Linked DNA regions of Sus scrofa. The protein of the gene in region 1 purifies or fractionates together with the protein of each later gene. This does not show direct contact. Links are inferred from orthologs where the notes say so. Each region holds a gene or a part of one and is shown in the gene's direction. Other genes may lie near its edges. The genes, in order: POLR1C, POLR1E, POLR3K, CRCP, POLR3F, POLR3G and POLR3D.

The links.
Region 2: the proteins of POLR1C (region 1) and POLR1E purify together in Homo sapiens (affinity purification with mass spectrometry; 5 studies listed by BioGRID and IntAct, counting the BioPlex papers as one, with this or other methods). This does not show direct contact. The link is inferred for Sus scrofa from reciprocal best matches to the Homo sapiens genes POLR1C and POLR1E.
Region 3: the proteins of POLR1C (region 1) and POLR3K purify together in Homo sapiens (affinity purification with mass spectrometry; 4 studies listed by BioGRID and IntAct, counting the BioPlex papers as one, with this or other methods). This does not show direct contact. The link is inferred for Sus scrofa from reciprocal best matches to the Homo sapiens genes POLR1C and POLR3K.
Region 4: the proteins of POLR1C (region 1) and CRCP purify together in Homo sapiens (affinity purification with mass spectrometry; 5 studies listed by BioGRID and IntAct, counting the BioPlex papers as one, with this or other methods). This does not show direct contact. The link is inferred for Sus scrofa from reciprocal best matches to the Homo sapiens genes POLR1C and CRCP.
Region 5: the proteins of POLR1C (region 1) and POLR3F purify together in Homo sapiens (affinity purification with mass spectrometry; 4 studies listed by BioGRID and IntAct, counting the BioPlex papers as one, with this or other methods). This does not show direct contact. The link is inferred for Sus scrofa from reciprocal best matches to the Homo sapiens genes POLR1C and POLR3F.
Region 6: the proteins of POLR1C (region 1) and POLR3G purify together in Homo sapiens (affinity purification with mass spectrometry; 4 studies listed by BioGRID and IntAct, counting the BioPlex papers as one, with this or other methods). This does not show direct contact. The link is inferred for Sus scrofa from reciprocal best matches to the Homo sapiens genes POLR1C and POLR3G.
Region 7: the proteins of POLR1C (region 1) and POLR3D purify together in Homo sapiens (affinity purification with mass spectrometry; 6 studies listed by BioGRID and IntAct, counting the BioPlex papers as one, with this or other methods). This does not show direct contact. The link is inferred for Sus scrofa from reciprocal best matches to the Homo sapiens genes POLR1C and POLR3D.

The regions. Positions count from the first base shown.
Region 1 is NC_010449.5:38,510,207-38,514,320, forward strand, and holds the start of POLR1C (DNA-directed RNA polymerases I and III subunit RPAC1), read left to right. Parts: upstream 1-1,314; 5' UTR 1,315-1,378; coding exon 1,379-1,462; exon of another isoform or gene 1,463-1,534; coding exon of another isoform or gene 1,535-1,567; intron 1,568-1,588; coding exon 1,589-1,660; intron 1,661-4,114. Other genes in the region: protein YIPF3, read right to left, coding at 1-18, 210-407, 1,002-1,082. UniProt on the Homo sapiens protein: DNA-dependent RNA polymerase catalyzes the transcription of DNA into RNA using the four ribonucleoside triphosphates as substrates.
Region 2 is NC_010443.5:238,196,466-238,200,458, forward strand, and holds the start of POLR1E (DNA-directed RNA polymerase I subunit RPA49), read left to right. Parts: upstream 1-1,193; 5' UTR 1,194-1,282; coding exon 1,283-1,358; intron 1,359-2,220; coding exon 2,221-2,324; intron 2,325-3,490; coding exon 3,491-3,567; intron 3,568-3,993. UniProt on the Homo sapiens protein: Component of RNA polymerase I (Pol I), a DNA-dependent RNA polymerase which synthesizes ribosomal RNA precursors using the four ribonucleoside triphosphates as substrates.
Region 3 is NC_010445.4:41,570,252-41,574,528, forward strand, and holds the start of POLR3K (DNA-directed RNA polymerase III subunit RPC10), read left to right. Parts: upstream 1-1,477; 5' UTR 1,478-1,521; coding exon 1,522-1,710; intron 1,711-3,072; coding exon 3,073-3,160; intron 3,161-3,794; coding exon 3,795-3,922; 3' UTR 3,923-4,277. UniProt on the Homo sapiens protein: Core component of RNA polymerase III (Pol III) which synthesizes small non-coding RNAs using the four ribonucleoside triphosphates as substrates. Can mediate Pol I proofreading of the nascent RNA transcript.
Region 4 is NC_010445.4:16,584,006-16,587,505, reverse strand, and holds the end of CRCP (DNA-directed RNA polymerase III subunit RPC9), read left to right. Parts: intron 1-1,145; coding exon 1,146-1,295; 3' UTR 1,296-3,202; downstream 3,203-3,500. UniProt on the Homo sapiens protein: DNA-dependent RNA polymerase catalyzes the transcription of DNA into RNA using the four ribonucleoside triphosphates as substrates.
Region 5 is NC_010459.5:26,732,839-26,736,338, forward strand, and holds part of POLR3F (DNA-directed RNA polymerase III subunit RPC6), read left to right. Parts: intron 1-323; coding exon 324-467; intron 468-687; coding exon 688-795; intron 796-1,784; coding exon 1,785-1,976; intron 1,977-3,500. UniProt on the Homo sapiens protein: DNA-dependent RNA polymerase catalyzes the transcription of DNA into RNA using the four ribonucleoside triphosphates as substrates.
Region 6 is NC_010444.4:97,661,756-97,665,255, forward strand, and holds part of POLR3G (DNA-directed RNA polymerase III subunit RPC7), read left to right. Parts: intron 1-30; coding exon 31-160; intron 161-3,500. UniProt on the Homo sapiens protein: DNA-dependent RNA polymerase catalyzes the transcription of DNA into RNA using the four ribonucleoside triphosphates as substrates.
Region 7 is NC_010456.5:6,524,013-6,527,019, forward strand, and holds part of POLR3D (DNA-directed RNA polymerase III subunit RPC4), read left to right. Parts: intron 1-235; coding exon 236-770; intron 771-1,250; coding exon 1,251-1,419; intron 1,420-1,764; coding exon 1,765-2,030; intron 2,031-2,749; coding exon 2,750-2,902; intron 2,903-3,007. UniProt on the Homo sapiens protein: DNA-dependent RNA polymerase catalyzes the transcription of DNA into RNA using the four ribonucleoside triphosphates as substrates.

The DNA.
Region 1 (4,114 bases):
CTTCCCCGCCTGCCACATCTGAAGCAAGGAAGACCGGGTGGGGTGGGAGGGTATCGTGAGACTCTTGGCTTTAAGGCCCTTTTGCTTATTTCTTGTTGGATCTCTACATGGTTCTAACTGGACAAGCTGGGGTGAACTTCACTAATACCAACTCAGAACCAGAGGCCTCAGGATACTTTTCCACCTGTCAGAGAGCCAGTCTTGCTTACCTGATCAGCCACCTGCCGGCTCAGCTGTCCCTTAAAGCCCTTCATGCCCAGAAACTCCCCATCCTCTTCTTCAGCGGCAGCTGCATCAGCATCCACTTCTTCCTCACGCAGGCGCTGATGCAGCTCACCCATATCCTCGAAGCTGGAACCTGAAGTATCATCCATGTTCTCCATGTCAATCACAGCTGAGCCCCCACCCTGTGAAGACAACGGATCCCACAGTGGAGGACCTTTCTGCTCCATCCGTTATGTCCTTCTCTGTTCACCGGAGAGCTTGGAGCTTTGTCCTTTCACTGCTGGAGATACGGCTTAGAATTACCATAGACCATGCCACTCCCCTCCCCTCAACTGCTCTCAGAACCTTTGTTTGGCTCTCTTTTCCAGCCTGGGAAACCTACTCCCTGTCTTCCATACGTGTCCTTTTCCTACCAAAGCCACAAAAGGCTGCAAAAGTGCCCATTTCCTTTGTGTTTTCCACCCCAAAACAAGGCTGCGCGCACAGTGTGGTTTTGGCCAGTGAATCCCGCCTACCCCCCATCCCACCCTCGCCCCTGGCCGTGCCCGACCTTCTAAGTTGTGCGGAAAGCAAGAGCAAGGGGGCTCAGAGGTACTAGTGTGGACCTTTTAGGTCCGCACTAGTTCCACTGCCTTTCACGTGCACGAAGACCCAAAGAAGACAAAAAGTTCTGCAAACGGAGCAGACTTCCAAGGCTCGAAGGAAGAGTCCCCATGACACTTCAGGACAGCTGCAGGCCGTGGGGCTGCTGGCAGCCGGAGCCGTGGGGCGCTTACCTGGATGTTTTCATCGAATCCTCCCCATTCCGGGCCAGCCCCATTTCGGGCGCCGCCGGCCGGCGCCGCCGGAGTTGCCATGTCCCTCGAGGGCTCCCGTCGCTGAAGCCCGCGCTAGTCCCGCGCGCTGAGGAGGAGTGGGAGAGATGAGGGCCTGACGGATGGACAGGTCCAGGGACTAGAAAGAAAGGTGGGATCGGCCGGAACGCAAAAAGGAGAAAACCGGATGTTTGGTTAAAACTGACTTCCGGTATCTGAGGACGTGGACGGAGGCGGGGCAGATTCTCGCGATATTTAGGATTCCGGGAGGTGGTGTGTTGCCACGGAGACGGGGCAGGGAGACTAGAACGCACGCGCAGGCTTGGTACTCTAGTCACATGGTGGAGTTGAAGATGGCGGCGGCTCAGGCTGTGGAGGAAATGCGGAGCCGCGTGGTTCTAGGGGAGTTCGGGGTTCGCAATGTAAGTCTTGTGGACTTGACCTCGGGAGGAGAAATCAGAGCGGAGCAGGGATGAGTTAGAGTCGGAGTGGGGATGAATTTGGCCTCGCTGCTCCTTCGCGAACAGGTTCGTTTCTCTTTGCTCTAGGTTCATACTACCGATTTTCCCGGTAACTATTCGGGCTATGATGATGCCTGGGACCAGGACCGCTTCGAGAAGGTGGGTAGAGCTGGAGGTGTTCAGAGAGGGTATGAGGATCGGATCTTGCACTCTGAACATCCTGTTCCTCGGAAACTGCCTTGGGGGTTCGCTCTGGATGTGTTAGGCACTCGATGTGCACAATTTCTGCTTTGTTCTACAAGCTAACGAGATGGTTCGGTCTTTTTGGAAAAGAGTACAGGTAACACGACTCTAGTGAGTTGTGGTAAGGGCGATTAACAGCAATAAAGATTGAAGCTGCACTCCCTTTCGGGTGGGACTCGAACTCAGCCAAAACCCCCATTGGAACTTGAACCCATGGTCCCTGACGTAGGAGGGGACTCAAACCCACTGTCTTAATTGATACCGCTCACCTGCTATCGTCAGGACTTCCTGAGCCTCAGGTTTTGTCTCGTGGGAAAAAGAATTCAGCGTGAGGCAAACCGATACACAATAAGTGAATTTATTAGCATAGGACGCTTGTCAGAAATACTAATGAGCAGGCAAGGGAGTGCGACCCAGAGAACAAAGAGGGCTACATTTTTATAATCAAGGTGAAAGTGGGGCGGGGAGAAGACCACCTTATTTCTCATTCTTGGGTAAGATGGTCCAGGCTTGCATCATCAGTTCCTCCTTTGACCCTATATGGTCTAAGGGGGAGTGTCATGGGCTGTTTAAATCATAGGTATATTAGCAGAAGCGGTAACATATGCGAAAATGTGGTAATTCGTTTCAGGTTGCAGAATAATTTCCCCTTTCACCTAGTTTTTTCCCTCTTTCACCTTGTCTACATGCAGCAATGCCAGTCTTCAAGGACCAATAACTCTGACTTCATGTAACAAGATTGAAACCCCATATCTCTTGTCTTGGGTTTTAACTATCAGGACTTGTGGCTTGTTTCTGGTGCTTAGATACACCTGGTCTTCCTTCAAGGTGGTGTAGATTGTTGCTAAGTTACTGGATTCTTAAGTGGTCGGTTGTTGGCTTACAGCAGTCTTCAAACCCCCTTAACATTTCCTTTTTGTCTTTAAACCCTAGTGGGACTTCTAAACTATGTGATTATCCTACTCTATCCCCATCATTCCTTCCTCCAGCTGTTTTACTCCATTATGCTTAAATGAGCAAATAGGGAGAGACCGATCATTAGCTGCTTCCTCCTGAGATGGGTCATAGGTCTGTCTAGAGAAGGAGCATAACACCTGTCCCTCCTCTGTTGGGAAAATAATAAGCCAATGCTGCTTGTTAGTGTTAACCTTGTGGCTTCTGTTGATCTTCCGCATCAGATGATAAATCTATTAAAGAAATCAAGAGAAACGCAGCAGTAAGCAATTAAAAGAGATTGTAGCCAAGATTTTGGGGATCCATTCCTTCATTCCTCCAAAAGCCCTCCCAAATCTGGAAGAAGGCAACTGAAGGTCTCAATCTGTGTTTGTGTTTTAGCACTTGAAATACATTAGCAGATTCATCAAGAATAAAAGCACAAGATTCCACCTTAATGATGGCACAGTTTCCTTCCTGGGAGGCTGTAATAATGTCTAAGGCTATCCTGATTTGTAGAATGGCTTTTCTCATTAAAGTCATTTCAACATTGGGTAAAGAAATAGCATCCAGGAGTTCCCATCGTGGCGCAGTGGTTAACGAATCTGACTAGGAACCATGAGGTTGCGGGTTCCATCCCTGGCCTTGCTCAGTGGGTTAAGGATCCGGCATTGCCATGAGCTGTGGTGTAGGTCACAGATGCGGCTTGGATCCCGCGTTGCTGTGGCTGTGGTGTAGGCTGGCAGTTACAGCTCCTATTAGACCCCTAGCCTGGGAACCTCCATATGCTGCGAGAGCGGCCCAAGAAATAGCAAAAAAGACAAAAAATAAAATAAAATAGAAATAGCATCCAGCATAGTCCACCTTAATGATGGCACAGGTTCCTTTCTGGGAGGTTGTGATAATGTCTGAGGCCATCCTGATTTGTAGAATAGCTTTTCTCATTGACGTCATTTCATCGTTGAGTAAAGAAATAGCATTACCTTCTTTTTTTTTTTTATTTTTTAAAAAAATGACTTTCATTCAAAGTCTCCTGTGTAAATTTTGTTAAAGTTTCAATATGAGCTGCAACATTTTCAAGACCTAAACCTGGCGTAAAGATGTTTAGCAAGTGATCATACCAATGAAAAACAGACCAAGTCCATTTTGCTTTTAGCAAGGGGAAGTTGGCAGGAGAATAATTCAGAGGATAATAATCATAATGCATATTTGTACTATTCTTTGAATGTATTTTGTTCCTTAATAGTTAAAGCAGATGTACTTCCTCCCTCTCTATGTGCTTTTTAGGGCCTCACCCTCAGCATATGGAAGTTCCCAGGCTACAGCTGTTCTCAGAGCTACAGCTGCCTGCCTCCGCCACAGCAACTTGGGATCCGAGCAGTCTACACCACAGCTCATAGCAATGCCGGATCCCTGATCCACTGATTGAGGCCAGGG
Region 2 (3,993 bases), on another chromosome or scaffold:
GAGAGCTCAGGTGTTATCTTTTTTTTTTTTTTTTTTTTGTCTTTTTGCCGTTTCTTGGGCCGCTCCAGTGGCATATGAAGGTTCCCAGGCTAGGGGTCTAATCGGAGTTGTAGCCACCGGCCTACGCCAGAGCCACAGCAACGCGGGATCCGAGCCGCGTCTGCAACCTACATCACAGCTCACGGCAACGCCGGATCCTTAACCCACTGAGCAAGGGCAGGGACGGAACCCGCAACCTCATGGTTCCTAGTCGGATTCGTTAACCACTGCGCCACGAAGGGAACTCCCAGGTGTTAATGTTTTTTAGATCATCTTGGAAGTACGTGCAGGGGGAGGGGAAGTCTCAAAAGAAGGCAATTTGGAAAACACAGATGAGTCAACCTGGTTCTTTCCCTTCAACAGTACCCTCCTTTGACTGAGAAAAACGGGTCCTAGCCTGGGCCCATGCTGAAAGATCTGCTTTAATCCTCCTTTTTGCCTAATAACTCCCCATGCGGTAGGGAGGGTTGAATCCGCGGGGACAAAGGACCATGCCTTCTGGTTCCCCCTTCTTGTCCACCCCAGAAGCTTTGAGTCTGCTGGGCCTCTCCCACTGGTCCATACTCTCAGAGTTGATTGAACCACAGGTGGTACTGTGCCAAGGTCCGAGAAGATGAGGTCATGTTACTGTTTACAGGATTGTGGATCACGTTTGGGCTTAAGGATTGATATCCAGGTGTGTGGATGGAGGTCCTGGAAAGCGGCCGGTCTCCGCCAGTCGCCACATTTAGTTAGCGTGCAAGGATTGCCTATCGAAAAATTCTAAATTTGAACTTGGACTTTCAGGCGTCAGTAAGACTTATTTGCCTCGGTGGTAGAGATAGACCATACCCTACCTAGACTCAGCCGCGAAGAAACCCGTCTATGCGCTAAAGCAAGACCTGAAGGTAGTGTGCTCCCTAGCGGCACACGACCTGTAAAGAGCAGGCCGAGTGCTGGGCCAATCACGTGTTGCGCCTTGCTGCGGAGGAAGGAGCGGGGCATAGGGAGCGCAGAGACCCCGCCTCTCCACGCGGAGGGGCGGGCGAAGAGTGAGAGGGGATGGCCCGCCTCAGAGCTCAGCGAGACAGCGCTTAGGGGCCGGGCCTGATGGGGGCGGAGCCACGCATCTCTGCGTGCGCAGGGCGGTGCCCGGAGAGGCCACGCCTCTTCCGCCCTGCCTTTTTTTTTTTTTTTTTTCCACCCGCGTGTACCTAGCGGACGCAGTTGTCTTAACTCCTGTGCTTGGCGGTAGAAGGGCGAGATGGCGGCGGAGGTGTTGCCGAGTGCAAGGTGGCTGTACTGTGGAGACCCCGAAGAGAGCCAGAGAGCTTTACTGGGTAAGGACTGCGGAGCCGGAGCAGAGCTCCCTGTAACTTCCTCCCTTTCTGTCTCGGTATCTACAGCCCTCGTCTTCCCTTACTGGTCCGTCCCCCTTCTCAGCTGGGCCAGATCCCTTCCAGGCTCTACTGCTACTTAGGGCTCGGCCAGGGTTCCTCTGTCATCTCACCGCGTTTCTGTCACCACCTTCCCGCTGAATGAGGCCTTACCAGTTACCCCTTCCCAGTACTCTAGACCCGGTCATCTCCTCACCCATCAAGTCTCAAACCTGCTCCATTTACTTTCCTCCATTGGGCAGAATTTTTCTTTATCTTTTTAGGTCTGGTCCAGGCCTCGTCAGTTAGTCCCATTTCCCCTAGTTATTCCCTCCCGTCGAAGCCCCTCTCTCCTCAGGCCTCCCCTTACCTTCCCATCCCCTCCCCATCCTCTTCCCACCTGGATCCGGATCTCCTTAAGCCCTCCTTTGGGGAGTTCCCATCATGGCTCAGTGGTTAACGAATCCGACTAGGAACCATGAGGTTGCGGGTTTGATTCCTGGCCTTGCTCATTGGGTTAAGGATCCGGCGTTGACGTGAGCTGTGGTGGTGGTCGGATCCCGCATTGCTGTGGTTCTGGCGTAGGCCGGTGGCTACTGCTCTGATTAGACCCCTAGCCTGGAAACCTCCATATGCCGCGAATTTGGCCCCAGAAAAGACAAAAAACAAACAAAAAACAAAAAAAAACCTCCTTTGGGCCAGGACCTGGGCCTCTTTGCCATCCCCATTCCTTCAGTCACTCCCTCTCATTGACTGTCTGTTTCCTCTGCATCATACTCTCTTGGTCCTTCTGCTCTCATGTCATTCCTGGGCTACAATCTTACAGTCCAGTTCTCCAATGGGAAGCTGCAGAATCCAGGCAACATGCGCTTCACCTTGTACAAGAGCAATGATTCCACAAACCCCAGGAAGAGGAGTCAGCGGATCCTGGTAAGTGCTGCAGTAGCTTGTTTTCTCCACTCTGCAGGCTTCAGGAGGCCCCTTGGGTGTGGAAGGGAGTGAGAGGAGAAAAGCAGGGGATAGCAGATTAGCCTTAAAGAACTTTGAGCCCCAGCAGGCTGGTGTGTGGGAGCAGGCTCCATTCAGTTTCACACTTATGGTGAAATGATAGCCCTTTATTCATTTGTTCATTCAGCAACCATCTATTGAACCCCCACTGTGGCTCTGGGCCGTAAGCAGCTAGGGAGACAACTAAGTCAGACATGGCCCCACCCGGAGGGAGCTCATAATCTAGAGCAGCATTTCTCAATCTCAGCACGACTGACCTTCTGACCCAGATAATTCTTTGTTGTGGGGACTGTTCTGCACATCCCTGGTGTTTAGCAGCTTCCCTGGTCTCTACCCAAATATACCTAGCACCTCCTCGTTGTGACAATAGCATGTCAGACATTCCCAGATGTCCCCATAGGGGTATTTCCCTGGGTTGAGAACCACTGATCTAGAGAAGTGAGAACTGGATGTAGGGGACACTTACACATAAGGAGACAAAGTTCAGGATTCCAGGGAGGGAGGGTACAGAGCAGGGCAAAGTGCGCTCTGCTTGCCAGAATGCCTTCTTGTGGCAGGATGCATTGGAGCCCTGAAGGATGGAGGAAGGTTTGACAGCTGAGGCTAATATTCCAAGTGAAGAGGACACCAAGGACAAACATGGGGAAGCAGGAAAACTTGGCTATGATTGAGGAGTATATTAGCCATTTCCATGGTCCTGGGAGCATGTAAGGAACAGTCATGGAAGAGGTGGCAAAGAGGTTCAAGAAGGGGTTAGACTTTGGGGTTGCCTGCAGGATCATTTTGTTGCATGCCTCTACGTGCTCAGCTACTCTCCCAAGCTCCACCAAGAACTTTCTGGCCTAGCTGGAAGCCAGCAATACCTGGGGCTTCCCTTTCAAAAATCCTTTTGCTTTTTCCCCAGGGACACCCAAAATTCACTTAAAGATAGTGGAGCTGGATCATCTCAAAGAGGCTCTCCCTGTTCTAATCTACTGTGGTTTGGAGTCTAAAGCTTCTGTATCTGAGGTTGCTCAGCTGTGGGAAGTCAAGATATTTATTATCTTTCAGCATTGGTTGTAATGGAACTTTCCCCCTCTCCATTTTAGGCAGCTGAAACAGACAGACTTTCCTATGTGGGAAACAATTTTGGGACTGGAGCCCTCAAATGCAACACTCTCTGCAGGTAGGGACAGGGTAAAGGGATTGCGGGGAGTAGAGGGTGGTGGCGGCAGCCCTGGCACTGCTCTTCTCTGCCTTTATTTTAGGGGCAATGGGGGAAATCTAGAGAGGTTTCTCAAGTTTCTGTGTTCCCAGACCCAGTGGCCTTCACACCAGCATGTAGACATTCCTGAAAATGAAAAGTGACTTAGATTTGTTTAATTTCCTAAAAATCTCATTTATTTACAATCTTGATGAGTTTTTTTAACTGAGAGCTAATTGACATATGACATTGGTTTCAGGTGTATAACAATGATTCAATATATGTACATATTGCAAAATGGCAACATGGTAAGTCTAGCTAACATCCATACTTAATTACAAAATTTTTTCAACCAGAAGTTTATACTTTTTGATCACCTTCATTAATTTTCACCACATCGTTAACTTA
Region 3 (4,277 bases), on another chromosome or scaffold:
CCAGCCTGGGAGGGCTCCCCCTGCCCCCAAAAAAACCCTCAGGCCCTGGGGCCCCAGGCAAGGCTGGGGCAGGGGTGCAACATTTACCGGGGCAACAGAAGACGAATACCACTATCAAGAAAACAAACTAATTTAACATTTTCATGATGGGCAAAATACAAAGATTTAAAAACAGGAGTGTGCCAGGTCATACTGAAGCCTGAGGAGAATGGAGAAATCTTTATTATTTTTCATTTTTTTGGTTTTTTAGGGCTGCACTGGCGGCATATGAAGGTTCCAAGGCTAGGGGTCTAATCGGAGCTGTAGCCACTAGCCTACACCACAGTTCACAGCAACGCCAGATCCTTCACCCACTGAGCAAGGCCAGGGAGGGGTCGAACCTGCAACTTCATGGTTCCTAGTCGGATTCGTTAACCACTGAGCCATGATGGGAACTCCAGAAATCTTTAATACTGGTCTTTTTATCTGACATGATATCATTTTGTTTACCCTAGGTCTTTATAAACCAATGTTGAGTTTTAAAAACACTGTACTGGAGTTTCCATCCCTGGCCCCACTCAGTGGGTCAAGGATCCTGCGTTGCCCATGAGCTGTGTTGAAGGTCGCAGATGCCGCTCTGGATCCTGAGTTGCTGTGGCTGTGGTGTAGGCCAGCGGATTCCAGCCCTAGCCTGGGAATTTCCATATGCCCCAGGTGCGGCCCTAAAAAGACAAAAACAAAAAGCCGAAACAACAAAAAACCTCCTAAACCAACCAAAACACTATACTGAAATGTCATGTGTCCTGACTAGCGGGTTTTTGGCGCTCCTTTTTTATTTTTTTTTTGGCCATGCCCGCAGCATGCGAGAGTTCCTCTGCCAGTCGAACGCACGCCCAGCAGCACCCGAGCCACAGCAGTGACAATGGCGGAGTTCTTAACCGCTAGACTACCAGGGAACCCTTCGTAAATGCCGCGCCGGAGACCAGTGCCTCGCTCGCCTCCCAGGCCCAGTCGGAGCCTAGACCCTCGTTTACGCCCTGAGGCCGCTTCTGGAGGTCTCCGGGCCGCTGCCATCATCGGTACCCCAGAATCGGTCCTCTCCCTGACGCTGGGCTCCGGAGCGGGGGAAGAGGCCCCGACCCATGCGCACCTGGATCGGAAGGTCGCAGAGCAGCGGGTCCTGCACCACCATGGCCAGACCCTCTTGGAAAACGTCCACCGCCTCGGAGTGCGGCAGTGCCTCTTCCTCATCCTCCTCGTCCTCCTGCGGCTCTGGCCGTCCCGAGGCCCCCGCCACCTCCAGGGCGCCTCGCAGCCCGCGGGTTCCGCCCCCACACCGCCTCTCGCGACCCGGGCCCGGGATTCCCGGGCTTCCCGCGGGGAAAGCCACCCACGGCCCGGCCTTTGGTCGAGGGGCGGGGCTACCGCCAGGACCAATGAGAAATGATGCTTTGGGAGCCAGCCTGCCGCAGTGCACACTGGGAGTGCGGAGCCGACGTGCCTACTGGTGGGCTGATTGCTGAGAGGCGGCCGCCGGGACCAATGGGGAGTTCGGGGCGCCCGGAAGCCCCCGGAGTCCACGGCCAGGGAGCTGCAGGGAGCGTAGGCTGGGCTGTCGTGATGCTGCTCTTCTGCCCAGGCTGCGGGAACGGGCTGATTGTGGAGGAGGGTCAGCGCTGCCACCGCTTCGCCTGCAACACCTGCCCCTATGTGCACAACATCACCCGCAAGGTGGGTCCGCGCCGGCCTCCCGGCACGCAGGGCCGCAGCCGTCGTTCTCGCGGAGCGCGCCAGGCCCTGACCCTCACCTCCCCTAGCTCCGTCCTCTGCTTGGGTTTCGCGTCCCAGCAGCCTCTTGCCCGCACCGCCAGCCTCTCGGAGGCGCCCCGGTCTTGCCCAAGGCGCTGCTTCCAGGGTCTGTGCAGGAGTTTTCTGTTCTAGTCGCTCTTCCCCTAGGGACTCACTCGTTCCTGTCACTCCTGCCTGTATTTACCTAAGGGATTGTTTATATAAATGCGGCCTTTCCGTTCCCTAGTTTTATTTTTCATATAGGGCTCACTGCCTTCCAGTATACTTTCTTTTCTTTCTTTCTTTTTGTTTGTTTAGTTTTTGTTTTGGCCGCGCCCCCGGCACCCTGGCATGCACAAGTTCCTTGTGCTGGGGACGTGGCTCGGATCGTCATTGTCGAAAAATGAGGCACGTGAACACGGGGAGATCTCGACAAGGCTCTTTACTGCTGCAGAAGGGCGCTGGGCACCCCAAAAAGTGCGCGTGCCCCGAACAAAGGACCCTCCCCTGTTTATCCCTAACACAGGGGATGTACCCTGTCCCCTTCCCGTGGGTCAGGTCAGGGTGCACGTTCTTCCCAGTTGGCTAATTTGAAACAAACTGTTACTGGGAGAAGAGGGAAGGGGGGGGGGTTGCAGGAAGGCATTTCAGCAAAATGGAGTCACCAAGATTTCTTTTGCTTATGTCGCTTTCCACACCTGCAAACCTGCACCACAGCAGCGACAGAACCGGGACAGAACCAGGGCGGTAACCCGCTGAGCCAGCAGGGAACTCCCAAGTGCTACTTTCTCCTTAGTATTTGTATAGATTTGTATAGTGTCCTGCCATGTGGCCGTGTTGTGGGAGTTTAGGGTCTGAAACGACGCGGAGGGTGGACTCTTACCTACCCCGACAGGTCAAGGACGGCTGGTAGAACCTGGCAAGTGCTTAGAAAGCTCTGCCCGGAGCCTGGGGGGGGGGGGCGGCTCCCCGGCTGAGATTGCCCTTCTTTGGCCTCAGTTCTCTGGGGCCTCGTCTCGGGCTACCCAGCCTTAGGGGGTGTGGGAGAAGAGGAGGGCCATACCCGAGCCATGCTTCTCTTGCTCCTCTTGCTTTGTCCAGTCCTTGCAGAGACCTTCTCTTGGGGCAGTCCAATCATGGGTCCTCTAAGTTCTGATGGAGCAGGGCCTCTGCCTGTCCAGTACCCCTCCCGTCCGGGTTGAAGGGTGGAAGAAGCCAGACACCTGCGGGCAGGTGTGGTTAGGTGATCCTGGGGTGTGCGGTTCAGTCAGTTGGAGAGACTGAAGAGTGGCTGTTGTTTGTTAGGTAACGAATCGGAAGTACCCAAAGCTGAAAGAAGTGGATGACGTGCTTGGTGGAGCAGCTGCCTGGGAGAACGTCGACTCCACCGCAGGTGAGAGGGAGAGGCCTGTTCCCGGGCAGAGCTGTGGATGGTACGGGGCTGCTGACTCTGCCCCTCCGTGGCAGTCTGCTTGTGCTTCTGCGAAGAGGAAGTCTATATTTTCTTCCTTAATAATTTCTTAGAAATTTTTATTTATTCATGTGGTGGTTTTTTTGGTTTGTTTGTTTTTTGCTTTTTAGGGCCCCACCCACGGCATATGGAGGTTCCCAGGCTAGGGGTCTAATCAGAGCTGCAGCCGCTGGCCTCCACCCCAGCCACAGCAAGGCCAGATCCTTTACCCACTGAGTGAGACCAGGGATTGAACCCACAACCTCATGGTTCCTAGTCGGATTCGTTTCCGCTGCGCCACAACAGGAACTCCTTCCTTGATACTTTCTTTGTTCCAAAACCAGTGTCGGCACAAGCTTTGGAGCTGTTCAGACCTGATTTCGAATCTTGAGGTGGCTTACTGCCTTATGACCGTGACCTTTCTGGGCTACCTCCACATGCCACAAGTTCCCCGGCCAGGGACTTGGTCCGCGCCGCAGCCGCAACCCAGGCCGCTGCAGTCGGATTCTTCAGCCTCTGTGCCACACTGGGCATCCTTTTTGAAGTAACCGTGGGTCCCTTGTTTTTCTCACGCCAGAGCCGTGTCCCAAGTGTGAGCATCCTCGGGCCTATTTCATGCAGCTCCAGACCCGCTCTGCCGACGAGCCCATGACCACCTTCTACAAGTGCTGCAATGCTCAGTGTGGACACCGCTGGAGGGACTAGGGCCGGGTGGCCCCGCTGCCCAGCATCTGCTCACCTCATTCCCCAGGGCGGATTCCCAGCTGGAAGGGAACTGCGGGTTCTGAGCATCTTTGCCGGTGTGGCAGAAAGCCAGCCTTCTCAGAGTGGCCCGGCCGGGGGGCCAGGAGATGGCCCCCATCGCCCAGGCAGTGGATGAATTTGCTGACGTCCAGGGAGAACTTGTGTTTGGGGGCAGTGGCCACACCAAGTGCGTCTTATTTAGGGTCCTGTTATCCATCTTTCCCGTTTAGTGGGCAGTGAGCTTTCTCTCGCCACCAGCTGACGCTCGTAAACATTTATTTATATGTTGGCACACCCAAGAAAATGGGGCTTTGAC
Region 4 (3,500 bases), on another chromosome or scaffold:
GACTTCTTTAGCTTCTGTACTATTGTTTGTAAAGCTAGGCAGTCAAACTGAAGTCCTTTTTAGGATCATAAGCCTAGCTTGTCATCATGCTTTACTTAAATCTGCCAGGAATTCTTTCTGGAACGCCTTTTGATCTTAGTGGCCAGATTTCAGAGATTGTTAGGGGAAATGCCATAGGCTAGGACCCTGGACATCTTTAGCTGAGAAAGTGGTTTGTGATCGATGGCTCATGCCACCAAGTGAGTGTGGTTAGGTAACTTGACTGCCTGCAGGCTGCTTTTACAAAAGTGGTTGATTACATTATTTTTTTTGTTTGTTGACCTATTGAGAATTAGAGATGAGGCTAAGAAAACTGGCTTGTGATTGTGGATTTCATCATCTCTATGTTCGGCTGCCCAGGAGCACGTCAGAAACTGGGTTCGAAGCAGACCTTTGATGGGGTCGAGGGAGATTGTTTCCCAGCTGTCATTCACGGACTCCTGTTCTGCATTCTCCTGGCCAAGGCCATGCGGCCTGTGTTAGATTGTAGGTATTAGAGATGGGCAGGCCTGGCTTGGGATTCTGCCCTTTGCCAGGCTTGTCGTGAGGTTTAACAGAAATAATGAGCATGAAGTACTAGGTGCGACGCTGCACTGGGCACAGGAGCTCCCTAAAGGGCTGTTGTCAGCAGTGATAGTAGTGGGGATTAGCAAAAATATATAAAGCATTTGGCACATAGTGGGCGGTCATCCAGAGAGTTGTTGATACAGTTTATAAGTTACAGCTGTGTTGTTGTGAAATTACCAAAGTATATAAGATGCCACTTCGCTCCCCAGAGGTGGGTTTTCTTTGCATGTACAACATTCATGTGTGTATGTGGATGGGTAGAGAACTGTTAGGGATTGCTTTTTCTTTCAGGAAAAAATGTTAACCTGCAGCTTGCTTTTTTCACTGACCCTTGTGGAGCATTCACACTGGCTTACTCTGGAACTTGAGCTGGCTTCTCCCATTCATGAAGATGGAGGACCTGGACACCAGGGGTGGCTCAGGAGCCAGGCCCTGAGCCCCGGGCCTAGACCAGGAATAACATGGGTGAAGAGGGCGAGGCTGGGCCCCGCCATCGAGGCGTCTCTGTAACTCCTGGAGGGTTTTCTTTCCCTCTGCAGATGGTGGAGGAGAGCGAAGAACGGCTGACAGAGGAGCAGATCGAAGCTCTGCTCCACACCGTCACCAGCATCCTGCCTGCGGGGCCAGAGGCTGAGCAGAAGACACATACCAGCGATGACGTGACAATGGACGAAGAGGACCCGGCCTAGAAGAGCACCGTTGGCTCCAGGGTCTTGTGAAGTCGAAAGGCCCAGCAGCCATTTCCCAGACATTCAAAGGACTGTTTATTTGGTTTTACCTTCTGTCCCAACAGGCCTGATTTTGTGGCTGGTTTGGTAAACCACAAAAATAAGCCTTCCTCAGAAAGAAGCTAAAAAGAAATTCTTGTGCTTTGGAGAAGAAACCTGGTAAAGACAGGCTGAGGTAGTGGTCAGGGCAGAGAGCTAAAGAAAGGAGGACAGGGTCGAGGAGGACAAGGACGTGGAACCCCCTGTGGTAAAAATCCTTCCATGGTCTTTGGCGTGCTCGGGGCAAGGTCCTTGTGCATAGCTGGTGGAATACTTCCTTGTTGCCTTTGATGGGCTCTCGCCTAATTAATTCCATCTGCTTCCCTGGGCGGCTTCCCTGAAGGCCGCGGAGCACTGTTGGGATGAAAGCTGAGTTAGGAGAATCCCAGTAGAGGGCTAAAAACACGCAAAGCAGCAAATGGTTGCTCTGAGTTAAAATCAGCTACTGACCTTGGCTTACCTCAGAGGACTCCTTTCCTTGCGAGAAACAGAGATAAAGGAACAGCCTGGCCATCCCTTCCTCAGGCCCCTTTCCTCTGCTGGCGTGGGCCCTGTGAGCTGGCTCCCTAGTTAGTCCGAAGTGTTAGAGCGCCGGCTCCCTCCCGTTGAAAAGAGGCATCCAGGCCGAATGACCACGTCGCCTGCCTTTCTGCCCACCTTCGGTTTCCTGCCCCGTGACAGGCGCTGCTTGTTGAGGCCAGCAGGTGAGCTCCATGTGCACAATGGGTGCATTGTATCTTTTTAAAGGGCACAGTTAATGTCTCTCTTTTTGTGGACAGAATATGAAGAGGTAGAGGTTGATTAATAAGACTTTAATTTTGTTGGCTCTTGCAAGGTTGCATCAGTTTTTGAAAATTTAAAATGTTAGAATAATTACCATGTGAAGAACTTCTTAATGTTCATGCTTTGGAGAGTGTCGTAGCCCCAGACGTGTAGTTGCCCTTAGGTCCTAGGAATAGTGTTAAAAATTAATTCCCCCGTTCACTCTGCTCCCTATTTGGGGAAGAAAATGCCCATAGACATTAATTTTTCAAATTGGTACTCGTTTTGTTGTACGATTACATATTTTCCGTGCTTCTGTTAATTGGATTACTTCCCGCCTCTTGCTATTCCCAGGTTATTTCAGCCTCCCCACCACCCCTGCCAGCTGGCAGTTACGTTCATCTTAACCTTATCTTCTAAGGATGACTTGAGATCTGCTCACAGGCAATGTTGACATGAACAGGGCATTTATTTTTAAATCTTCTTCAAGTATCAGGAATTTTACCAGGAGCTATTGATTTGTCAAGACACGTATTTTGGTGCTCATGTCATTGTTGTTGCATTTTTGAGGTGCTTTTTTTCTTCATGGATTTAAGGCTTGATTAGTTGATGATAAATTGTTTCCAGGTGACTGCCAACTTGTGCTGTTTTTATCTTTCAAGAGTTTATTTTGCCTTGATTAGGAAAAAAAAGAAATCTGACTTAGAAAACATATATAAAATATATACATGTTAGTATTTTTCTTAAATTGAATCTATTTAGATCCGAGAATTTAGCCTCAGCTTCTGATTAGGTCAGACTTACTCTTTATAAGAAATATGGTCTGTGTAATATCCCCATCACATTAATAATCAATATTTCAGAAATAAAAAGTTGTAATTTACACAGGATCACATCTGGGAAGGAGAGCTGGGAGACTGGGAGACTTGCTTTTTTATTTTATATCCTTCTGTATGGTTTTAATGTTTGACCAGGTGATTGTTTTATTCTTTAAAAAGAAAAAATGTTTGTTTGCATGTTATCCTTGGTCTTTGTGAAAGTTAATAAATGCATTGTCCGTAGTTAAATTACGTTCCGAACGTGGAGGCTGACACCCAGTCCGGTCACTCTGGGAGACACAGCACTGAGGGGAGGTGATCTTTCGAGAAGGTGCTCCTGAGCTCTTGAAAAATGAAGTTGATTCCCAGTTAGTGGTTTATCCAGATAACCTCCTTGCCTCTTTTTGCTTCAGAGTTTTTGGATGACCCACTGCCAGCTCAGGGGACTTGCCATTTATTCAAGGTTCATTCCTGAAATAGTGGGTACCATTTTCCTAATCAGTTGTTGTGTAACCATATCAGCCCTCAAGAGTTTATACCCTAGTGA
Region 5 (3,500 bases), on another chromosome or scaffold:
ATGTAGTGTTCTGGATAGCATCGTGGACCATAGAAAGGACATTAGGGAAAAACTAAGGAAATCTCAATAAAATATAGACCTAAGAGTTAGTACTGACATATTAATATTGGTTCATTAATTGTAACAAATGTACTCTAGTAATGTCAGATGTTGCTAATAGGGGAAGCTGAGCACAAGGTCAGTGGGCAGTCTGTACCATCTTTGCAATAATTCTGTAAGCCCAAAACTGTTCTGAAATATAAAGTTTGGAAGGCTTTGAAGTCTTAGTTTTGGAAGCCTGTGTTGTTACCTCTGAACCATCTGCTCTGCATGTTTTTTCCTAGGCCTCTAAAAAGAAGGTGTATATGCTCTATAACCTGCAGCCGGACCGGTCTGTGACTGGAGGAGCCTGGTACAGTGACCAGGATTTTGAATCTGAATTTGTAGAAGTGCTTAACCAACAGTGTTTCAAATTCTTGCAAACCAAGGTGAGGCATAACTGAGATCACATGATCACTGTAGTTTTTTTTTTTTTTAAGTTTCTTCACAAGAAATGTTTAATCTTGTACATCATATTTTGTTTCAATTGAAAATATTGAGATTGTTCTTTTTCACTGAACAAAATACATTCTGTTGCTTTCACTCTATATAAACTGTATTTAGAAAACACCAGAATTCTTCCTGAAATTTATGTTTCTATCTTTATAGGCAGAAACGGCAAGAGAAAGCAAACAGAATCCCGTTATCCAAAGAAATAGTTCTTTTGCTTCATCACATGAAGTGTGGAAGTATATCTGTGAGTTGGGGATCAGTAAGGTCAGAACTCAGTTTCTAATTTTATCTTGTTCTTAAAAACTTATTCTTCAGGAGTTCCCGTCATGGTGCAGTGGATAACAAATCTGACTAGGAACCATGAGGTTGCGGGTTCGATCCCTGGCCTTGCTCAGTGGGTTAAGGATCCGGCATTGCTGTGGGCTTTGGTGTAGGTTGCAGATGCGGCTCAGATCCTGCGTTGCTGTGGCTCTGGCGTAGGCCGGTGGCTACAGCTCCAATTGGACACCTAACCTGGGAACCTCCATATGCCGTGGGAGCAGCCCTAGAAAAGGCAAAAAGACCAAAAACAAAATACTTATTCTTCATCACAGGGATATAGTTTACAGTATATTCCAGACACACCTGACACAGACCCTTTTTTCAGGTGATACCTGTGTATATTCTGCAGAACCCATTTTGAGAAAGTACCATTCTAAGCCAGTTAGGCAAAGGCGGTCATTGCCATCGGGCACTTGGTGAACTGTATGTGCTTGAGCCTGGGATACAGGGTAGCAGAGTGGAGGCCTGACAGTTCGTTTCACTGCCAGATTCAAGTCTGTTCTGGCAAGTCTGTGACTCTCTGGGGGACATTTCAACATATGTGCCAAACATCAGTCATCGTATCAGTTGTCACTAATTGGTATTTTCCTCCTTATGAGATGCAAGTGGTGGTGTCAGCACACTCTTCTGAACATCCATACATATGGACAACATCAGAGAAGAAACTGAAGCAGTCACTTGGACAAGTCATTTTCATTTCCTGGGTTGCAGATGTTTCTTTCACAAAAAACCAGGAATTTGGACTATTTGATACTCAACCATTTTATAACTCTCCATCAAATTCTTGCCAAAGAAATGTTACGAGATGTCTGGATCTTACTTAGGAGCGTGAAGATGTCAACAAATGTCAAGCTCAGCATGAGCTCAGTTAACCACCCTCCAGAAGGGTGTCTCCTTGTCCTTGGGTCCTTTCTAACATGTCCCTTTTTTAGGTAGAGTTGTCCATGGAGGATATTGAGACCATCTTGAATACGCTCATTTATGATGGGAAAGTGGAGATGACCATCATTGCTGCAAAAGAAGGCACTGTTGGCAGTGTGGACGGGCACATGAAACTATACAGGGCAGTCAACCCAATCATCTCTCCCACGGGATTGGTCCGGGCCCCCTGTGGACTCTGCCCGGTGAGTTCAAGTGGCATCACTGTACACTTCACTGCCACCAAGTGCAAAGCTGCATAACGTACCAGCAAGCACACCCTAGTTTTCTCAAACCTAGGGTTGAACCAGTGCTGCTGAAGCCTCCATGTAACCTTGAGGACAGGCCTTTAATGAGCAAATGATCACCATACATTCTTAGAACAACCAGGTTAAAGAAATTTGTTTTCTGTTCTTGGTCCCAAAATGGACATTTTTTTTGTTTTGTTTCGTTTGGTTTTGGTTTTGGTTTTTTGGTTTTTTTACTTCTTATTTTTTTTTATTACTCAAATGAATTTATCACATCTATAGTTGTATAATGATCATCACACAAAATGGACAATTTTTTGATGGGAGCAAATCATTTAACCTATGTAGGGAGGGAACTGAGATTTATTGAGAACCTGTCATGGGCCAGACATGTTCGTGAAGGTCTCTGTGGTCTCATTTAACCCTCAGGTCCCTCACAGCTGGCAGTGTCATTTCCCTTTAAGCATGAGGGAACTTAGGCTAAGGGCGCTCTGAGAGCATACAGCTCAGACACAGCAGCCAGGACTCACAGCTAGAAGTGATGTGCTTTCCTGAGGCCTGGCCCACCCACGTTTTCATTTGTTCCTTCCCAGAGAGCTCCTGAGCACCACCCGTGTGCTGCAGGCACTGTCCCAGCCCTCATGGCATTTATATCCTTGGCCTGCTGGCCTGTGTTTTATGATCTACACGCCTAAGCTCTCTATGCCCTGGTTTCAGCTCTCATAAAAATGGCTAACCTGTTGGGAATTCCATTTATCACCTTTCACACAAAGAAGGTAGCTAAACAGGGGGTGTTTGGTCAGTTAAGTCATTTGTGTGTATAGATCTCCCTTCCTGGGCTCTTGTTACCTGCCAGCACCCCAGTGGGCAAATGAACGTGGTTATCTTTATGTGTGTTGTCTTTTTTTTTTTTTTTTTTTTTGTCTTTTAGGGCCGCACCCGAGGCACATGGAGGTTCCCAGGCTAGGGGTCTAATCAGAGGGGTCTAACCACAGCCATAGCAACATAGGATCCAAGCTGCGTCTGAGACCTGCATCACAGCTCATGGCAACGCCAGATCCTTAACCCACCAAGTGAGGCCAGGATCGAACCTGTGTCCTCATGAATGCCAGTCAGGTTCACTAACCGCTGAGCCATGAGGGGAACTCCTTGTGTGTCTTTTTAGGGCTGCGGCTGTGGCATATGGAGGTTCCCAGGCTAGGGGTTGAATCGGAGCTGTAGCTGCTGGCCTATGCCACAGCCACACAAGATCCTTAACCCACTGAGCAAGGCCAGGGATCGAACCTGTGACCTCATGGATGCTAGTCAGATTTGTTTCCACTGAGCCACACAGGAACTCCAAACATGGTTATCTTAATGCTAAAGTGAAAGGTCTCTCACTGACTGATCACAAAGCAAGTCGTGTTTCAGTATGTTCTTACATACAGTCCTAATAAAACCTCTTTCAATTTGAAAGTTTTGTTGTTAATATTGTTTTAAATA
Region 6 (3,500 bases), on another chromosome or scaffold:
TTTTTAAAATTTGCCTCTTCATTTAAACAGGATACAGATTATAAACCAGTGCCACTGAAAACAGGAGAGGGTGAAGATTATGTACTGGCCTTAAAACAGGAGTTGAGAGAAACAATGAAAAGAATGCCTTATTTTGTAGAAACACCTGAAGAAAAACAAGGTGTGTATTGAACTCTTTGATTATGTGGTTCACTGTCTGCAGATGAAACAGAGTTTCAGTATAAGATGTATGATGTTTAATGCTGATTGATTTGATTCAGTCAGAAGTTATCAACTACATTGAGAAAGCATATTTAATGTTGATTTAACAGAAAATGTTTTTTAAACTTCTTGATATTTTATTTTTAAAATTACCTTTCACAATAGATGTTTTATGTGTTCAGTGAAACTTATGAAAAAAAAATACTAAGAAAGTAAAAAAAATTTTTTTTTTGTCTTTTTAGGGCCACACCCATGACATATGGAGGTTCCCAGGCTAGGGGTCGAATTGGAGCTGTAGCCGCCCGCCTTTGCCACAGCCACAGCAACAGCCACAGCAAAGCGGGATCTGAGCCACATCTGTGACCTTTACCACAGCTCATGACAACGCCAGATTCCTGACCCATTGAGAAAGGCCAGGGATTGAACGTGTGTCCTCATGGATGCTAGTCAGAATCTTTTCTGCTGAGCCATGACGGGAACTCAAAAGAAAGTAAAAATTATCTATACTCCTTATGTTTAGAGAACAACTTATTAATGTATTATTATATATTCTAGATTTTTCTTCTGTATGTATGTTCCTTTTACAAAATTGGATTCACATTGCTTTGTATTTTCCTTTTTCACTCAATAGCATATTATTAGCATTTAATAATAATAATAACACTAGGAAGACATTCCTAGTGTCTTGGAAAACATGATTTTTAATGGCTATGTGGTATTCCATTATGTGGATATAATGTTAATTGTAACTAGTTCCCTACTATTAGATTTAAGGTGGTTTCTAGTTTTTTGCTCATATATAATACTACGATTACTGCCCTTGTACATCACTTTTTAAGTGGTTCTCTGATTAAATTTTTGTTAAAAATTTTAAAAGCCTTGACCATATTTTGGCATACCATTCATATATGTGATGTAAAATACAAAATATGTATTAATTGGTTATGCCAAGGACAGAGAGGAAAAATTGCCGTTGGAGAAGTCTTAGCAGTCTCACTAGAAGTGGGAAGTAGTCTTAGAGGAAAGGAACCCATTCCTGAGTACTTAGCTCGGTTGAGTATTGATTTTCAGTTCCTGTCCTTGAATGTTGAAATTAGAGAGGTCGATATCATCCTTGAGCTCTCAAAACAACATCATTAAAACATGAGAAATTCATATCGTATCATCTCATTCCATTAGTATTAAAAATGCATACCATTTTCCCTCTCTCTAAAAGGCTTAGAATTGGATAAGAATCAAAAAGGAAGTCTTATGTAGTAATATTACCTGTGTTTATAATTCTAAGAAGCATTTTAGACAAGTTCATTTAATTTTTCAAAACATAGCTGCTTAAAGTTATATAATAAATGGTTAGATATTTTAACCTCAAAAGTACGGAATTTTTTTACTTTTAAGATTATGTTCTATGCTTTTATCTATTCGAGTTTGAAAATGAAATTAAAGCTTTAACTAATGATAAGTGAACTAAATAAATAATCACTATTACTGGAAAAAATAATAATGTAGGATATACTTTAGTCTTCTAAAAGTTAGTCTCTTCTCTAGACTATGGGATGTACTTACTTAACTAAATGTGGTTGTTATTAAAACTCATGTCTCATTTGAAAGTTTATCATACCATGAAAGCATTTATGTTGAGTCTTTCAGATTGGGACATTTAGAACATAATTTTGTTGCTTGTTTCTGGGAATAGCTGGTTTATACCTGGATCAAGAGGCTCTTTATCTTTGGTAACTGCATAATAAAATATTTAAAAATATAAGGTATCTTTTGGGAGTTCCTTTGTGGCTTAGCAGTTAACAAACCTGACTAGTATCCATGAGGATGCAGGTTCGATCCCTGGCCTCACTCAGTGGGTTAAGGATCCAGGGTTGCCATGAGCTGTGGTGAAGGTCACAGACACAGTTCAGATCCCGCATTGCTGTGGCTGTGGTGTAGGCCGGCAGCCATAGCTCCAATTTGACCCCTAGTTTGGAAACTTCCATATGCTGCTAGTGTGGCCCTAAAAAGCAAAATAAATAAATAAATAAATAAATAAATAAATAAATAAAGGAATCTTTTGCTACTGTTTCCTTCAGAGGAAAACTTGCATAGACTTTTCCAAATTGATACAAATAAATTCTCTTTGAATATACTCATGTTTATCTCTCTTTCCAAATGGAATGTAAACACGTTCTATTTATGATTGAAAATAAAGATTTTAAAGAAAAATACAATATATATGTATGAATACAGGTTAATATAATATATACTGTTAAGTATACACTGATGTAAAGAACTAAATCCCTAGAGACTTAGACAGTATGGTGGGAAGAGGTCTTGTCCTGATAACCTGGTGGCTGGTCGCTCAGGGCATTAAGGTGTGTTGCAAAGAACTGAGGGCACAAAATAAACATATTTCCTGTTGTGATGTCTTCAAGGTTTGTTTGTAGTGTTTTCAAGTAGAATTACAGCAGTGGTTGGTATTTTCTCTACAGTAAAATTTGTTATTTTTATAATAAAGAAAAAACATCAATGAATATTATTTTCTTAATGGATTTTAGCTGCAAAGGTACACAGAGAGCATCTGGTGCACTGGTTCCCAGCTCAGGTTCCTGAACCACTGGGGTCCTCTTAGTTAGAAACAGGAGTGACAATGGTGATGGTTCTGTAAGCCATTTTCAGCACTTCTAAAGCTTAGTGGAAATCATACATTTACCTCCATTATTACCACAAGATAGTATTTTTGAAAAAATGGAGTTTGGTGTATTAACTCTTAATATACTATAAAGGTCTATAAGATCTCATTTTAATTTTTGAATTTATTTTTGAGCGGTTCTTACTATATGTAATGATTGATGTTCATAGTTCTTATTTAGAAATCTTCCAAAGAACTAAGAGAATTTACTTTAAAACAAGAGGAAAACTCATTTTATCTTAGCATTACCATATTGGCCCAATGGAGTCTTTCATAAATCTAAAATATAGTTTGGAATCTTAGTGATCTTATTTTTCTTGCATCTTGAAATATTTTTTCTGTTTTATTAACAAAGACATTATTTCATCATTTTTTAAAATTATTCCCTACTATGTTGAAAAATGTAAGATAAAGACTAAAATAGAAAAAATGAAAGAATGGTGAAATTACATAGAAAGATCATGCCATTTTGAAATAAATCATTTCTATTACATTATCCTTTAATTTTCCTATTGTGTTGCCCAAAGTATTACATTAATTTTTAAGAAGATATAAAAGTCTGGAGAGACTCTTGTCTGTGTAGGTGTTTTGTTTTTGTTTTAGCTTTTGTAGAATATAATTT
Region 7 (3,007 bases), on another chromosome or scaffold:
AGTTCTAATACGTGATCTCGAACAAAAAGGTAAAGCAACGGTAAACTGAAAGGACTTCACCTCATCAAGCAAGTGAAAAGATGCTCGACTTAGGATTGGGGGTTCTGCTTCTCATGATGTACTTGTTGGCTCATTAAATTCTCCATACAGTTGGAACGGAGTGGTGTGGGAAAGTAAGACCAGTTCTCGGAGGCAGGGAAGTGAGTGGTTTTATTTTGCCCCTTCTCTTTTCCAGGCCCAAGGAAGAAGTAGCAGTCAAGAAGGAAAAGCGTGAAAGGGATAGAGACCGACAGCGAGAGGGCCATGGAAGGGGCCGGGGGCGCCCAGAAGTGATCCAGTCCCACTCCATCTTTGAGCAGGGCCCAGCTGAAATGATGAAGAAGAAGGGTACAAAGCTGCCGGGGCTCTGGGAGGAAGGAATCAGTGGCTTTCAGGTCCAGCTGCCCACGAGGAGGGCAAGGGCAGTGGCATTCCCCTGCTTGCTCCCAGTTAGCTCTCCTTGCTGTTGGCCTCTTCTTTACTTCTTGCATCATTTCCCACAGGGAACTGGGATAAGACCGTGGACATGTTGGCCTTGCTGTTGGCATGTTGGACATGCCTCCTTGCTGTTGGCCCCTTCTTTACTACTTGCGTCATTTCCCACAGGGAACTGGGATAAGACCGTGGACATGTCAGACATTGGGCCCTCTCACATCATCAACATCAAAAAGGAGAAGAGGGAGACGGACGAAGAAACAAAACAGATCCTGCGTATGCTGGAGAAGGATGATGTAGGTACCATCAGGCTAGGGGGAAGGGGCTTCTGGGGAGCCAGGTCGGGGAGAAGAGAGCTCTGATGTCCTGAAAGCCCCGTGAGTAGCAGGAATCTTCAATTAGGAAAAGGCTAAGGTGGGGAGTTCTCAGTCGTGGCTTAGTGGTTAGTGAACCCGGATAGCATCATGAGGACATGGATTGGTCCCTGGCCTTGCTCAGTGGGTTAAGGATCCAACATTGCCATGAGCTGTGATGTAGGTTGCAAATGCAGCTCAGATCTTGCGTTGCTGTGGCTGTGGTGTAGGCCTCGGCTACAGTTCCGATTGGACCGCTAGCCTGGGAACCTCCATATACCACAAGTGTGGCCCTAAAAGGCAAAAAGACCCCCCCCCCAAAAAAAAGGCTAAGGTGGGGGAAAAAAGGGGCGAACGTGGACTGCACTCCAGGCAAATGTGTTTGCGGGCCTGGCTGTGTGACCCTTGGCTCCTCTTTGACAGTTCATCGATGACCCTGGCCTAAGGAATGACACTCGAAATACACCTGTGCAACTGCCACTGGCTCACTCAGGCTGGCTTTTTAAGGAAGAGGATGAAGAAGCAGATGTTAAACCCTGGCTTCCTGGCCACAAGGAAGAGGACATGGATGTGGACGGGCCTGCTGTGAAAGGTACTCTGTGTCAGTTAATGTCTCCTTTCCTTTTCTGTGCCTGCCCCACCCCCTCTCTGGGAATGAGCCTCCCAGACCAACTCATAAGGCAGTCCAGCCGTCAATACAGGACCTGGCCACGGGCACTAAATTCTCACTCTCAGCAGGTTCCTGGCAACAGGAGTTGGTGGGCCCAGCCTCAGATACCTCTTTTTATGTAACTCCTGGATCCTTCTCTGTAAACAGAGTTTCCTTCCAGCTTCCTGGCTGAATGACAGTGGAGCAGACCGAGGCGAAGGGGTGGGTGCAGTGAGATCATGGGTGATGGCCACTTGATAGCACTTCCATTTCTGTTGTCTTGGGCAGTGAAAGAAGAACCACGAGATGAGGAGGAGGAGACCAAGGTGAAGGCTCCTCCCAGAGCCACCCGGAAGACCCCGAGCCTACCGAAGGACGTGTCTGTGGCAGAGCTGCTCAGGGAGCTGAGCCTCACACAGGAGGAAGAGCTGCTGTTCCTGCAGCTGCCAGACTCGCTCCCTGGCCAGCCACCCACTCAGGACATCAAGCCTGTCAAGACGGAGGTGCAGGGCGAGGATGGCCAGATGGTGGTTATAAAGCAGGAGAAAGACCGGGTATGCTCGGGAATGAGTTCTGTGAAGATGCGGGGGCACTGAGAGGGGACACAACCACCCTTAGGGGAAGCAAAGGTGTGCCTCCTGTCCTGAAATGGGAGAACAGTATGCATTTGTTCTTTCTGCATGTAGGGGCCTTGGGGCTTTGCACTTCAACCCCAATTGTATGTGTTTCCTTTTCACAATGGAATATTTTGAACATACACAAATGAGAGAACGTAAATTCTTGTGTACTATCACCCAGCTGCAGCAGTTGCTGGTATTTTGCTCCTTTGCTGGTGTTTGCTGTGGGTGGGGTTTGGTTTTTTGACCAATGGCAGGCAGCTCCAGGAAAAGGCCCTCTTTGGGGAGCTCCCCCCCCCTTTTTTTGTCTTTTTAGGGCCACATCCGCAGCATATGGAGGTTCCCAGGCTAGGGGTTGAATCGGAACTGTAGCTGCCAGTCTAGCCACAGCCACGCCAGATCCAAGCCATGTCTGTGACCTATATACCACAGCTTACGGCAAAGGCAGATCCTTAACCCACTGAGTGAGGCCAGGGATTGAACCTGCATCCTCATGGATACCAGTGAGATTCATTTCCGCTGTGTTATGACAGGAACTCCCTGGGGAGCTCCTTCTCACCTTTGCTGCTGCTGCCTTCCTGTAGGAAAGGGTTCATTATTGAAGGATGGAAGAGACGGCTCCTTACCTGGTTTCCATCCCCTGGTTGTCTTCATAGGAAGCCCGCCTGGCAGAGAACACCTGTACCCTGGCTGACCTGACAGAGGGCCAGGTTGGCAAGCTGCTCATCCGCAAGTCAGGGAAGGTGCAGCTCCTCCTGGGCAAGGTGACTCTGGACGTGACGATGGGAACCGCCTGCTCTTTCCTGCAGGTGAGGGCCCGCCAGGTCTCTCTGAGGCTCTTTAAGACATTGAGGATGGTTAAGGAATTGGTGTGGAACATGGGGAGGAAGGGAAGTGTTCAAATCATAGGGCTG